Saccharomyces cerevisiae S288C: one gene and its partners. The protein of the gene in region 2 binds, or shares a complex with, the protein of the main gene of each other region. Each region holds a gene or a part of one and is shown on either strand. Other genes may lie near its edges.

What was found.
Region 1: CSI1 (region 2) and RRI1 share a complex: the UniProt entries of both Saccharomyces cerevisiae proteins name them as parts of the COP9 signalosome-like (CSN) complex.
Region 3: CSI1 (region 2) and CSN9 share a complex: the UniProt entries of both Saccharomyces cerevisiae proteins name them as parts of the COP9 signalosome-like (CSN) complex.
Region 4: CSI1 (region 2) and RRI2 share a complex: the UniProt entries of both Saccharomyces cerevisiae proteins name them as parts of the COP9 signalosome-like (CSN) complex.

What each region holds. Positions count from the first base shown.
Region 1 is NC_001136.10:68,396-72,338, reverse strand, and holds RRI1 (COP9 signalosome catalytic subunit RRI1), read left to right. Parts: upstream 1-2,019; coding exon 2,020-3,342; downstream 3,343-3,943. Other genes in the region: GDH2 (glutamate dehydrogenase (NAD(+))), read left to right, coding at 1-1,699; translocation channel protein TIM22, read left to right, coding at 3,733-3,943. UniProt on the Saccharomyces cerevisiae protein: Catalytic component of the COP9 signalosome (CSN) complex that acts as an regulator of the ubiquitin (Ubl) conjugation pathway by mediating the deneddylation of the cullin subunit of SCF-type E3 ubiquitin-protein ligase complexes.
Region 2 is NC_001145.3:321,621-325,061, reverse strand, and holds CSI1 (Csi1p), read right to left. Parts: upstream 1,763-3,441; coding exon 875-1,762; downstream 1-874. Other genes in the region: PEX12 (ubiquitin-protein ligase peroxin 12), read left to right, coding at 1-826; mitochondrial 54S ribosomal protein mL44 MRPL3, read right to left, coding at 2,015-3,187. UniProt on the Saccharomyces cerevisiae protein: Component of the COP9 signalosome (CSN) complex that acts as an regulator of the ubiquitin (Ubl) conjugation pathway by mediating the deneddylation of the cullin subunit of SCF-type E3 ubiquitin-protein ligase complexes The CSN complex is involved in the regulation of the mating pheromone response.
Region 3 is NC_001136.10:817,881-820,979, forward strand, and holds CSN9 (Csn9p), read right to left. Parts: upstream 1,317-3,099; coding exon 828-1,316; downstream 1-827. Other genes in the region: succinate dehydrogenase membrane anchor subunit SDH4, read left to right, coding at 70-615; NVJ3 (Nvj3p), read left to right, coding at 1,553-2,944. UniProt on the Saccharomyces cerevisiae protein: Component of the COP9 signalosome (CSN) complex that acts as a regulator of the ubiquitin (Ubl) conjugation pathway by mediating the deneddylation of the cullin subunit of SCF-type E3 ubiquitin-protein ligase complexes.
Region 4 is NC_001147.6:95,357-100,134, reverse strand, and holds RRI2 (Rri2p), read right to left. Parts: upstream 2,585-4,778; coding exon 647-2,584; downstream 1-646. Other genes in the region: MSN1 (Msn1p), read right to left, coding at 1-326; YOL118C (uncharacterized protein), read left to right, coding at 3,219-3,527; MCH4 (Mch4p), read left to right, coding at 3,774-4,778. UniProt on the Saccharomyces cerevisiae protein: Component of the COP9 signalosome (CSN) complex that acts as an regulator of the ubiquitin (Ubl) conjugation pathway by mediating the deneddylation of the cullin subunit of SCF-type E3 ubiquitin-protein ligase complexes.

The DNA of each region.
Region 1 (3,943 bases), on a different chromosome or scaffold from region 2:
GAAGACAAATTTCTTTATTACAAGAAAAGTAGCAATATCATTCAGATTAGATCCTTCCCTGGTGATGACAAAATTCGAATATCCAGAGACACCCTATGGTATATTTTTTGTCGTTGGTAATACTTTCAAAGGGTTCCATATCAGGTTCAGAGATATCGCAAGGGGCGGTATTCGTATAGTCTGTTCCAGGAATCAGGATATTTATGATTTGAATTCCAAGAACGTTATTGATGAGAACTATCAATTGGCCTCTACTCAGCAACGTAAAAATAAGGATATTCCAGAGGGTGGCTCTAAAGGTGTCATCTTATTGAACCCAGGATTGGTAGAACATGACCAGACATTTGTCGCCTTTTCCCAATATGTGGATGCAATGATTGACATTCTAATCAACGATCCATTAAAGGAAAACTATGTCAACCTTTTACCAAAGGAGGAAATATTATTTTTTGGCCCAGATGAAGGAACTGCTGGTTTCGTGGATTGGGCAACTAACCATGCTCGTGTGAGGAACTGCCCATGGTGGAAATCATTTTTGACTGGAAAATCCCCATCTTTGGGTGGTATTCCCCATGACGAATATGGTATGACTTCTCTGGGTGTTCGTGCTTATGTTAATAAAATTTACGAAACTTTAAACTTGACAAATTCTACTGTTTACAAATTCCAAACTGGTGGTCCGGATGGTGATTTGGGATCCAATGAAATTCTTTTATCTTCGCCAAACGAATGTTATTTGGCAATTCTGGACGGTTCAGGTGTCCTGTGTGATCCTAAAGGTTTAGATAAAGATGAATTATGCCGCTTGGCACATGAAAGGAAAATGATTTCCGATTTCGACACTTCCAAATTATCAAACAACGGATTTTTTGTTTCTGTGGATGCAATGGATATCATGCTACCAAATGGTACAATTGTAGCTAACGGCACAACCTTCAGAAACACCTTTCATACTCAAATTTTCAAATTTGTGGATCATGTCGACATTTTTGTTCCATGCGGTGGTAGACCAAACTCAATTACTCTAAATAATCTACATTATTTTGTTGACGAAAAGACTGGGAAATGTAAAATTCCATATATTGTGGAGGGTGCCAATCTATTTATAACGCAACCTGCTAAAAATGCTTTGGAGGAACATGGCTGTATTCTGTTCAAAGATGCTTCTGCAAACAAAGGTGGTGTCACATCTTCATCAATGGAAGTGTTGGCCTCACTAGCGCTTAACGATAACGACTTCGTGCACAAATTTATTGGAGATGTTAGTGGTGAGAGGTCTGCGTTGTACAAGTCGTACGTTGTAGAAGTGCAGTCAAGAATTCAGAAAAATGCTGAATTAGAGTTTGGTCAGTTATGGAATTTGAATCAACTAAATGGAACCCACATTTCAGAAATTTCAAACCAATTGTCCTTCACTATAAACAAATTGAACGACGATCTAGTTGCTTCTCAAGAGTTGTGGCTCAATGATCTAAAATTAAGAAACTACCTATTGTTGGATAAAATAATTCCAAAAATTCTGATTGATGTTGCTGGGCCTCAGTCCGTATTGGAAAACATTCCAGAGAGCTATTTGAAAGTTCTTCTGTCGAGTTACTTATCAAGCACTTTTGTTTACCAGAACGGTATCGATGTTAACATTGGAAAATTCTTGGAATTTATTGGTGGGTTAAAAAGAGAAGCGGAGGCAAGTGCTTGAGCTTCAATAAAATTGTTTTGTATAAATTAGTTCTGCCGTCAGAAAAGAAAATTAAACATATGTGTATGTTCTTCTCAGCGTTTTATTGTGTACTAAGTAAAGTTGTTTATATGTCCATTATTTTTAATCTAAAAAAAGCATTTGATATTTTTTCCTTCGAGTTATCCATTATACTAGGCAGTTCTCCTCAGGGAGCCATGCTTCAGCTGAAACTTTAGGAAAGGCGCGCTACGCAGGAAGCGCTCTTATTAAAGGGTTTTTCAAATAAACTAAAAATGAATAACAACGATCGAAAATCAATAAAAACTGCAGGAGGCAGCATGTCACTTTCAAATAAGACTGTAAAGGAATTACGACAACTACTAAAGGAAAGGTACACCGTGGAAGATGAACTAACTGAATCTATAGCGCTATCAAGTATGCGATTCAAGCCGTCGCAAGAACCTGAATTTCATGCGCTAAGCCAATCTTCCTTGCTCAAAACTAAACTAAAACAACAAAGTAGTACAGATATTCCGAGTTACACCCACGTACTTATATCAAAATTATCATGTGAAAAGATCACCCATTATGCAGTTCGTGGAGGAAATATTGAAATCATGGGCATATTAATGGGGTTCACATTAAAAGATAATATTGTTGTAATGGATTGTTTCAATCTTCCCGTAGTAGGGACAGAAACTCGCGTAAATGCACAATTGGAGTCATACGAATATATGGTTCAATATATCGACGAGATGTATAATCATAATGACGGTGGTGATGGGCGAGATTACAAGGGCGCTAAACTGAATGTTGTTGGCTGGTTCCATTCACATCCTGGTTACGACTGTTGGTTAAGTAATATAGATATCCAAACCCAGGATTTGAACCAGAGATTCCAAGATCCATATGTCGCAATTGTGGTCGATCCCTTGAAAAGTCTGGAAGATAAAATTTTAAGAATGGGTGCATTTAGGACAATAGAAAGTAAAAGTGATGATAATAGTGCCACTTCATACTATGAACTAGAAACAATCATATTTGATTCAGAATTGAACCGAGCGCTATTTGAAACAAAGTTAAACTTACATTGCGTAATAGAGGATGATGAGTCAGAACAAATATCATTAAATAGATTGATCGATTCAATGAAGCAGTATAGCTATTTGATGGATTCCAAAAATGTTAGAACAAGGATTAAGTTGGCTACTACCAGTGAACGTGTTAGCAACGAAAATAAAAAAAACATTGACTATCAAAACCGTTCAACAAGGTCTCAGTTCTGCCTCAATACGCAAAGGGGGGATAGCACTGAAACAAGCTCCTTTGGAAGCATGTTTTCAGGTGATAATACTAGTGACGTAGATATGGAAGATAGAAACCTTACCGAGTTCGACAGTACTGACACTAGTCTGTGCATAAACGGCGAACCGAGCATTCATGTAAATCGCGTGGAAAGAAGCAGCAGGTCTACCGACAATTTTCACAATTCTAAAAAACGCATGAACAGCAATCAGGAAAGATGTCATGATGAGGGCAATGATATGTTACAGAGAAATGTCTTGGAGACAGATTATGCAAGAGCAAAAAATCGAATACTTGCGTCAAAGATAAAACAATATGAGCGGTTACGTTTTTACAAGGACACCTTTACATTATGAATTCCTAACGTTGCTCCAATGACGCTGCAATAGCTTATGTTTATCTGCAACGTACTTTTAATAGTTATTCCTTCTTGAATCTCTATAAGTATATCTATACCGGGTGACAATTTGATATTTTCGTACGCCGTTATGTGTTGGTTTTTGGTCTTACTGATAAAATGGCATCGAGCTTACAACTGAAGAGAAAGACGATGCATCAGTCAACTTAATTCTCTAATAAAACAGACAGCATTTCCTCGGATCCATTTCGTACATATAAAATCCGAAGCTTTTCAGGACAAAATACTATTTTTCTGTCACTACTAAACGGGATAGTACTAAACGGGATAGTAGAGATAGCTGCCAAATAAGATCAAGAAATTGTGATTTTAAATACTTTATACGAAGATGGTGTACACAGGATTTGGTTTGGAGCAGATAAGTCCAGCTCAAAAGAAACCTTATAATGAACTAACTCCGGAAGAACAGGGTGAACGGGGTGCTGAAATGATCATGAACTTCATGACTTCCTGTCCTGGAAAATCAGTTGTGAGTGGTGTAACAGGGTTTGCACTGGGTGGTGTTTTAGGCCTGTTCATGGCGTCAATGGCATATGATA
Region 2 (3,441 bases):
CCAGAGTGAATGGCCCCAAGGTTTGCAGCTGAATCAACAGCAAAAGAGTGTTATTTTTTTGGAAAAAATTATTCTCCCCTATATCACAGCGAAGTTGGATGAAATATTAGAGAAAATATCAATGAATAATATATTCAGCAGCGATGAAACTGAAAATAAATGGCCCAAGAGAGCGTTTCTAAGAATTTATCCATTTATTAAGAAATTATTAGCGTTATCCAATTTACTCGTTAAATTATTATTTTTAACTAAAAGAACAGGGTCGGTTTCCTTGTTGCAATACTTATTCAAGATAGAGTACACAACGGTAAGACCACTATCGTCAGAACTCTCTGGTCTCAAAGAGACGAAAGGGATGGATAATAGGCTAAGGAAAACAAATATATCGTCAATTTTCGCGCTAATGCAAGGACAATTATCGATTATACCCAGATTTTTAACATTTATGGGTTCGCAATTCTTCCCCACTTTTATATTTGTCCTAAGAGTGTACCAATGGTGGACCACACAAGACATGACTACTAAATTGCAGAAAAGGGTCAATGACTTGGATGAAGATATTCCAAGGCCGCCTTTCTCCTCACATAGTGACAAAACGGAAGATAAAGAGGGAGTTTCTGAGGCCTGTCCCGTTTGCGAAAAAACTGTACAAAACCCCTGTGTATTGGAAACAGGATACGTGGCATGCTACCCGTGTGCCATAAGCTATTTGGTTAATAATGAAGGCCATTGTCCCGTTACCAATAAAAAGCTGCTGGGTTGTACATACAACAAACACACGAATAAATGGGAAGTTGTGACAGGTATTAGGAAGCTACTAATCTGATGACGGAGGAAGTGAAGAAAATAATTCTGTGTAATATATATATTCTAGTTATTTTTTTAACATATTTGAAATTTCCCATTGTTTACACGAAATTTCTAATAATTTTATTTCATTAATTTTGTTATCCAGCAGGTAATTCATGTCACTTGTTCCACCTCTTTGCAGTTGTGTTACAAGCATTGATATTTTTCGAAGTATTACATCTTGCGTGGAAGAGAAAGGCTTGTCAGTGGCATCATAATTTTTCAAGAATATTATCATTCGATTAATCTTCTCGAGTAATTTTCTTATGGTATTATTATTATATTTTTGAATATTGATTTCTTTATCCTTCATGTCAATTAATTGAAACTCATCAAAACCTGGGTCTACGGTATTATTAGGTGTGGGAATTTGGTATCTGTCATTTACATCCTTAATTTGCACTTTATCTTGTAGAAAATCAAGGATAATTTCCGCGCCTATCTGTACACTATTTTCAATTTTATAACCCTTTAAACTATTGACAGCTTCTTGGAAGGAGGTATGTTGGCGAAACACGTTATATTTTATCAGATATTTCAATGCCAAGGCGGTCAATTGGGTGAGCACTTTCTCCGTCACTTTATTAGTGATATTTTCGTCCTCTTCTAACTGACATAAATCAAGAATACCCAGTATACAAATGTCCTTTTGAGTCACTTTTGTTAGGTTAATTCTCCTTTCTAGGCGTTCTTGATTTATTTTATCATTTTCCTGCATCGGGATTCGTATAACTTTTTCAATATACCATTGAGACTCTGCTTCATTACCATTTATTGGGATGTAAATTTCATCATCTTGATCCAATTTGCAACCTATCAATAAAAACCAAGAGTGGTCTATCGAGTCAAACGATGACTCGTGCAGGAAGTTAATTTCTGATATAGCTAGAGAACTGAATTTTAGGAGGTCCATTTACCCTATATTACTTTGCTTTGTGTTATTATCCCCTCACAAATGTGCGTTCTCTTTAAATATAGCAAGTCTTTTTTTTTTTTGTCTGTTTCCTGGTAAGATATAGTAGTAAACAAGGAACATGCTTCTGTTCACTTTTATATATTTTAGTACACATAAAGTAAACGCATATCGTACCAACGTGTATATATATATGTACAAGAATGTATTCTGGTTAAGGAGTTCTCTATCTACAAAATGGCAAACACAGAACTAAACAACAACAGTGCCAGGATCAATAACTGGTTCCTGTTGAGCAAGAGGCTCGTAGCAATACCATTTCATCAAAGCATCAGTAGCGGCTCTTGCTTTTGCCTCCTTTAATGAGGAACCATAACCTTCACCTAATGTCTCTTCGCCTGAAAATACATGCACAATAAAGACAGGTGATTTCGATAGTCTACCAGACTCAGCGACCAGTTTCGATACAGGTTTCTCCAGCCCCTCTCTACGACATAGCATAGCCAATTCTCTTGTAGGTTGTTCAAACTGGAACATTTTCGTGATATCCAATTTCCTGCTCATTATATGATCATCAATAAATCTGTAAACAGCTTGAGAATCTTTTTGCTCCGTTACTGCCCAGATGGCAGCTATTATACTCCTCACGCTCATTGCAAGAGCGCTTGTTTCTGAAAAGTTCTTTCCGGTGATTAGCTCAATACCGTCCTTAGAGTTCAATGAATTATTAAAGAATTTGAGTCTTCCCAAAGTGAATTCGAATGGTTCCATTTTCAAATAGCGTGATAAAACAGACGTAGTTTCTACTTCAATACCCCAGTATTTAGCAATGTGCGCCAGTACCGCCTCTGATATATATGCGTTAACCGCAGCATTCAAAACCACAGTGGGTAGTCTCGGATATTTCTGTATAATGGATTTTGTAACGTGGTAAGAGAGCAAGTTCTTTCCCATGATGTTTAAACCGTGGTTGTCCAAGTATTTATTAGTAGGTACAGTATTAACGAAAGCTGCACCTTTTGTAGGATTATTTATCTTGTCGGGTAGTTTTGCAGAGGGACACGTTAAGCATCTGGAAAGTGTTGAATAGGTCAACTCATTAGGTAATTGTAATCTCTTATGAAGCGTTCTTAACGAAGGTGACTTAGAGGCCACTGATTCAGGTATTTCATTTACAGTGCTCTTCAAACCCTGGTAGTATTCCTTATATTTAGCAAGTTCAGATTCGGGTAGGAAGCGCTTTTCTTGTTGTGTTAATGTTGAAAGGTGTAGGTATCGTTTTGAAGTAAATCTCGAGGATTGCTGCAGAAAGCATGTGCTAGACAAATGCTGTGAGAAAGGTCTTATGGTTCGGCTCCAATGCCACGTACTGTTTGGAAAAGGTTTCATACCTGCTGCTATTGCTCTTTTCAAAACTATGCCCATTCTGTATATATAACTACAGCTTTCTTTTCACCAATTCTTTTCAGATTATTTTAGTATTGCTCTTTTTCAGAGGCGGGAAACTTCACTCTTTACCCGGCTGCATATTGTAAGGACCTTTTCTATAATCACGCATTAAAGCGACTGTAATTTATATCTAATAGGATAATAATTTGCCATTAATTATTCATCTTGTTGCGTCTACAATCATTCTATTCCGTATTCTTTATGTCAAGGCATAAGAGACCTTGGTGTTT
Region 3 (3,099 bases), on a different chromosome or scaffold from region 2:
TTCCCATTCTGTTGTTTTCTTGATCTTTCCTACGCTTTCGACTTTCTTCCTACGCGCTTTATAATAGCTATGATGTTGCCAAGATCCATGAAATTTATGACTGGAAGGAGAATTTTCCATACTGCCACAGTAAGGGCCTTCCAGTCTACCGCTAAGAAGAGCTTAACTATCCCATTTTTGCCCGTATTACCCCAGAAACCAGGTGGTGTTAGGGGCACTCCCAATGATGCCTACGTCCCCCCCCCTGAGAATAAATTAGAGGGCTCATACCACTGGTATATGGAAAAAATCTTTGCCTTGTCCGTCGTTCCATTGGCTACGACGGCTATGCTGACAACCGGTCCGTTATCCACTGCAGCTGATTCTTTCTTTTCTGTCATGCTTTTGGGATATTGTTACATGGAATTTAACTCTTGTATCACCGATTATATTTCTGAAAGAGTTTATGGTGTTTGGCACAAGTACGCCATGTATATGTTGGGCCTTGGTTCTGCGGTCTCCCTTTTTGGAATCTATAAACTAGAAACCGAGAATGATGGTGTTGTTGGTTTAGTAAAAAGTCTATGGGATTCTTCCGAGAAAGACAACAGTCAAAAGATTGAAGCCAAGAAGTAGATAAATCACCACGAATCATTTGTTCGGTCATGTAACATGCACATCTATAGCAACGACGTGTCTCCTATCTTTTGCTTTTACCTTGTTTTCCGCCGGTATATTCCTTTGCCATATTTACTAGTATTTATTTATTATTATTTATTCTTCTATTTTTCTTTTATTTATTTGTTACTTCCTAATATCGTCATTATTATGCCTTTTTCATATTTGATTTACTCCAATATATTCTGTTTGAGCTTTGTTTCCCAGCTCCGAAGATTTTGAACTAAATACTCTTTCGTCACTCGCGGATTTTTAATTATAGTCAGTTCCTTTTCATGACAGTACACATCTCTACAGTCAAATCTTCTTGAAAATTTCATAGATTTACTGACTGAATCCATCTCTGCTTTAAAAATATTCTGTAGCTGAATTAAATGGCTTTCGATGATACCATCGTCTTCAATTTGACATTCTTCTTTAATTAACTCGTAACTTAACTCATTATATATTTCGCTTAATGTTACCAATGTTAATTTCTCCAGTTTTGATCGCATTAATGATGTTAGGATTATGTTTTCCGGTAGATCTTTAATGTTTCCAAAGGCAAATATTTCGAATAATTGTTGTTCATCGGGATCTTTAGTATTTAACCATTCTTCTTTGTAGTGATATTTGTAAGGATCTTCTAGCGATTTTATTGTTTCTTCCCTCATTACCATTCTCTCTTATCTGTACTACGTAGGTCATCACTGTTATTGTTTTTTATTTCTTTGTTTACTATTGTCCGTAATATAAATACATATTAAAAAAGTTGATGATGAGTTGCTCAATAATTTTCGCATTCCCTAAGATACAACGAACCAAAGGCAAGATAACAATAATATAAGAAAAAGCAAACGCGATAAGAGCCAGGGAAGTCAATATATACTGCACGGCTTTATTTCTATATGTGTAGATGCCTACCATTTTATACAACACCAATTCCAGTTTAATTACCAAGTACCGAAGGCCAAATGCCTCAAATCAATATAAAGGCTTTCTGTCAAAAAAAGGACATACACGACTGAATTCTAAATCGAGTGGAGATATTTGGGAGAAAGATTGTAGTCATACGAAAAATTCTGGTAATGATGTTTCGTTTGAGAGTGAATTTGAAAAAGATTCGGTTGAGTATCTAAGGGATTTATGTTTCTCTATATACCCAAATTCATTACATCAGAAAATCAGAAGCATAGAAGCTTTGCCAGACCTACAGGTAAATACCTTTATTGCCTTAATTTTCCAAAATTTCGTTAAGTCTTGGTATGGTATCAAAATACCCACTGATGATTCCAAGTTTTTAACCGAACTATATAACTTAGTTCAAGATTTAATAACATATTTGAAGAGTTCCAAAATCAATTACCATGCCCTTTTACTCGATTATATTCCCTGCTTGCTTTCGTCTCACTTGAAAGCATTAAATGACTCATCTCAAAATAACGATTTAGTTTATGAACAGTACTGTAAGCTAACTTTGTATGATTCGAAACGATATCCAATGCTATTCACTGAAATCATACAAAGTAAAATGAGCACCAAATCTCTACTACAGAGAAGCTTTTTGGATAGCTTTTTAAATGAACTTGTGTTCGGGCATATTTTTAATTCAATAGCGGAACCATATTATCTTCTGGAGGGCTTGAATAAAATTTGCATAAGAATAAAGCTAAATTCTGCAGGAAATACCAGAAACGAGGTGACTCATGGAAAGCCTAAATGCGATCCCTGGTTGTTTGTTTCCAATGTAAAGCACAAAATATTGCAAATGACCAGGCTTTTAGCTTATTCAACTTCAACAGAAGCAGCAAATATGAACACTGCCGAAATTCAAGAAACAGCATTTCTACAAAGATATATTTTTACTTTTTTCACCGATGATTTTTTCAAATTATCTATGAGGAAGCCATTCCTATTCTCAATATGCAGAACGCTTCAGCATTGGATCTCTAAATTAAATGCGTTAAACAGGGTCATGTATAGAACATTTGACAATATTGTTCAAACTAAAATTACCAGCCCTGTGACAATTGGCAACTTATTCTCATTATTACGACATTCTTTGTTTCCTAATGACAATATGATGGGGCCACCAAGAGTATTACCAGTGGGTGATGCTTTTCTAGAGTTCAGAGAAGAGTGTATTTCCAATTTATGGGATGTTTGTATGACTTATAAACTTGATCATATCCTCGCTATCAAAAGGTCTGACATAGCGGATCTTATTATCTGCATATCGAAGAATAGGGATTGCAATAAACTGCTAATTTATAGAATTATTGACTGTGTTATTGCGCAGTTGCCGTAGACTTCGTGATGTATAGAGTATTGTTGACAAATATTTGATGTTACCGAAATAGCACTCTTTGTAGCATTATTACCAATTTTTATACTATGAAGTAAGGTCTTAGGAAGCAAGAACATTGTTAACAAATAGCTTTTATGACCTAATCATTAGCACTA
Region 4 (4,778 bases), on a different chromosome or scaffold from region 2:
CCTTGTGGGTCAAGAGTTTGGCTTAAGGATATTGACGTAGCTGACACCCCATGCAACGTTCCGCTTAATTTTTCACTGAGAATTTCAGCGTGGCGTTGTTGGTCATTCAGCAATGTTGATAAAAACGCGGTCAGTTCGTTGATTTGTTGCTGTTGGGAGTTTACCACTACATCATATTTTTTAAAGTGAAGATCGAGACGGTTACTTAACGCGTGAAATATACCCTCAAACATCGACATACGCCTTTCCAGCTCAGCAACGCGGTTGGTTAATATAGCCTCATTCTCATTTAGGTTTGAAGCTCCTATGTGCTGGTTACTTGCCATTTCGATGCCTACCTTGAAATAATCTCCTTTTCTGATTTGGTTTCTTTTCTTATAAGCAAGGGGCTTTGTATAATGAATCAGAACACTTTACCCTCAAGCAAATATTTCCTGTTTAACAAACTATGGTCGATAGTTTCCATACCATCAACGCTTTGTAGGTGTACATTTTCATTTCCTTCCACATATCCTTATTATCTTAAATCTCTCCAGAAAAAGCATCACTATAAACGAAATCTTCGAACGGCTTTTACAAAGAAGCTATCTTATGTAAGTGGAATTCCAAAATCGTAATGTTTACACGAACGTGCCTGATCGACATTCTATTCCAGATTGTTAGAGGCCAGTTTGCACAGCTCGAGGTACTTGTTGGAAAACTTCATATACGATGGTAGAAAAGTATCTTCATTCGACTGGTTGCTTACCCTCGGTAATTTTACAGTTTCCCTAGATTTTCTTAATGTATTGAAAAATTCTTTAGAGGATTTGGTTCTTATTCTTGTTGGGTTATTATAAATCGCGACATCGTTAACGTACTCAAAATCTATTAGCCTGGCCTTTTCAGTGGTTTCTTCATCCTTGGGAGAGATCATAAGACGAAATTCTTCTTTAGAACATCTCGGTAGCATGACTTTATTCTCGTCTCCGAAATAGACTAAATCACTTGTCAAATCTAACTTAAAATACACAACCGATCTATTTTTCATTATTGACCTCATTAAAATTGTTAGCAAATCATCTCTTGTCATTTCATTGTCATCACTTATTTGCAGCATACTTATAATGTCACTTATGGAGATACAGGAGTATAATCGTGCAATTTTTCTCCACAACTTTAATGTCTGCGCCAGATAGTAAATATCTTGAATAATTCCACTTAGTACTACGGACAATTCAGGAATAAGAGATATACTTGCATTCAGCTGTCTTAGTTCCAGTTGTGCGAAGCACCTGTAGACATCTTCTAATACGTTAACAATAGGGCTGCCTAGCGCAATCTTCACTTGTTCGAAACCAAAAGGATTAATCTTGTCTGTGCTAATTGCTTCTAGAATCATGCTCGTGAAAATGAAGCCGCTAAGAATGAACTTGTGAAACAAAGAGGTAATATCCCTCTCCCGAAGTTTTCCCATCTCTTCCAAGTGTTTCAAGATATAGAGGAACATATTTTTTAGCTCTTCTTTCCGATCATAATATCTCATCAGCGCAAAGGATAAATCATTCTCTGAATCAGAGTCTAAAATGAATACAATCTTAGAGGTATATAATATTACCATCAGTCCAGATTCTTGTGAGAAAGTAAGCGACTTAGATATCAACATTTCAAAAAAGTCAATGCACTTCTTAAACAACCTTCTATTGTTTATTCGTGCAGTGTTCATATACTCCAATATGTAATACTGCAGTAACATAGATACACTTTCCAAATCATTATTTTCCTCAAAAGAAGAGCATTCATTATCTTTCACAAGAATCTCTATTTGGGAAGAAATTTCCGGGGTGAATACATTCCCCATGGTTAACCTTTGATACCAAACAACGGCAATAAATATCTTTTTTCTAATTATACGCTGGAGATTTTGGAGTTTACAATCCTTGCCAGGCTTTCTTAAAATCCATTGAAACTGATCCATGAAGTTTTTTTGGAAATCAATTTTGCAGATCATATTTTCCCTATCAACTTTCTCGATGTCGAACAAGAATACTCTTTCCCACTTGGGTGCCAATACCTCAAAAGTATCAGAAAGTAATTCAAATATATTTCCATCAATTTGAAAGTCTATTCTTTGTAAAAAAACCGACATAGTTGCCGTGTCTTCTAAAATTTGTAGAACTAAATCCTGTGCACCGTTTTTCTGAAAATAGAGTTGTAGGGCTCTTAAACGTAATATCTCAATAAGTGATTTAAATTTCCATGTCATGAGCCTTTCTATACTTTCGTCAGATGAAAATTCTTCCTTGTAATATATCTTTAAAAATAAATCGCGAGCCTCTTTATATCGTTCGTCTTCTTTGAGAGCTTGGCCTTGCTCAAAGATTCTTTCACAAATATCTTCTACTCTGTCATGTTTCTCGAAGGTGCCTTGTTCATGTTGCTTATGTCGTGCCGCTCCTCGATCTTGATCATCCTGACTATTGTCTTCATTTATTTCAATGTTTTGTTTGTCTTCATCATCGGTTTCTTCCTCCATTTCAATTGACTCCATGCCTTCGTCATCCGATAACATGAAGTCGTCATAATTGTTATCTTCATCAGACATTTTGTGTATAGTGAACCTTTTTGCCTTTTACCGCGTCAAACGTTTCAATAGTTCATTTAGTCAAAGAGATCACAAAACAATTGATCCAGCTCCCCTTATAATATTTTTCAGCGAGGACCAGATAAATTTCTTCGAAAAGGAGCTGCACTTTGGGCAAACGAGAAAAACGTGCCAACCTGGCATTTAGCTACAGAGTACTTTCGCCAGTGTTATCATATATGGGCCACTACTCTCATACATGCACAAATGTTATACTCATTATATACTTAGTGTGTATTAAGAGATCAAATTTGAAAAAGGTAAGAAAGTAAGTTTGTGCAATCTTGTTGCCATCATATAAAACTCGAATCTCAAACTCGACATTCCCATAATGAAATCCAGAAAGTGTAAGATCACTGTCACTGCTTTCGAGGAATTAGTTATCTAAAGCAAGTAACCTAGAAGAAAACGTTCTATTGTGCGATAGATGAAATTCTAGTCGCAGTAAAAGCGGCATCTATAAAAGATTTTCTCAGTATATAAATGGATGTTTGACATCGAGGAATTGGCTAATTTTACAGTCGTATTATGGTAACACTTGATGGACTATAACTACCGGAAACGGCTGAGTTGTCTACCCCCCGTATGATCTTGAATGTCTTTTAGAAAGAAAAAACTCAAACCTCCAGCGGGTAGTCAATTTATTATAAACGACTCCATAATGAGCTATATTGACCGCACGAAAACACTAATAAGGATGATTGGATGCAAGAACCAGTACATAAAAGCACGTATGAAAGATAAGACCTTCTTCTATACGAAGCAATTCCGTACAGCCAAAAACAAATTTTTCTTTCATCTGTACCATTGGGAGGCCACTCATATTAACGTTGACCACTATATATGTACATGTCATCCCATTTTTTGGGGCTCTATAGGTCAGAAACTCAGGAGATCCGCCTGATCTTGATGATAAGAGAGTTTTCCTTTTATAGCAATTTCGATAGCTTCAAATTAGTCAGCCGTGCCTATGAGCGGTAATTAACAGGCGAGATGGCAAAGAGTCACAGGCGAATCTAAAATATAACAAAAGGCCTATTTCAGAGAAGGAAAATATTCCTTGGCACACGGCAAATAACCTCGAAAGTATTGATTCTGTTTTATTTGTAACCATATTGAAAGAGCTTTTCATAAACTTAACAAACGGAGGATGTTGAACATTCCCATAATTGCTAACTCCAAGAGGTTCCTGTTCTCAAAGGATCACGAAGCGCAATCTACGAGAGATCACGATGTGGAGCTGGAGACAAGGGAGGGCCCAAGTTCAGGATATAATCCAAACTTCAATGCAGCGGACGCGATTTTGAAAAAGAACAGCGATCAAGTAGATCTTGACGTTAATAAGTTAACGAACGTCACCTCAAGAGTTTTAAACACCCCAGAGGCCTCTTTGATTTATGATGATGACAGAGAGTTCCCAGATGGTGGGTTAAAAGCATGGCTGGTAGTATTTGGTGCGTTTATGGGACTGGTCCCGGTTTTTGGCTTAATCAACTCCTTAGGGGCTATTGAATCATATATCTCTAAACATCAATTGGCAAATATATCTTCTTCAACAATATCTTGGATTTTTTCCCTATACTTAGCTATCAGCTTTTTAAGCTGTATATTATCCGGTGGCTATTTTGATAGAAATGGTAGTATTGGTTTGATGTGCACAGGTACAGTCATATATGCTGGAGGACTATTCGCATTGGCAAATTGTAAGTCCGTATGGCAGTTCATTTTGGCATTTTCTGTGTGCTCTGGACTTGGGACGGGAATTTTAATGACTCCTCTGATAGGAACTGTTGCAACCTGGTTTTTAAAAAGAAGGGGTATAGCAACATCTATAAGTACCATGGGGGGTTCAATAGGGGGTATAGTTTTCCCTATTATGCTGAGAAAGTTATATAAAGAAGTGGGCTTTCAATGGGCCATTAGAATCCTATCATTCATTTGTTTAACATGCCTCATTTGTGCTTCAGTTTTGGCTAGAGAAAGAACTAAACCGGTCGTTCAACCATTCAAATCCAAGGCGGAAGTAGCAAAGTGGTACATTTCCTCTGTGTTCAATTGGAGATATTTTTTGGAAGGAAAATTCTTGTTCGTCGCAATAGGCGCTTCTTTTGCAGAAAGTTCCCTAACTTCATGCGCTACATATTTAGCATCTTAT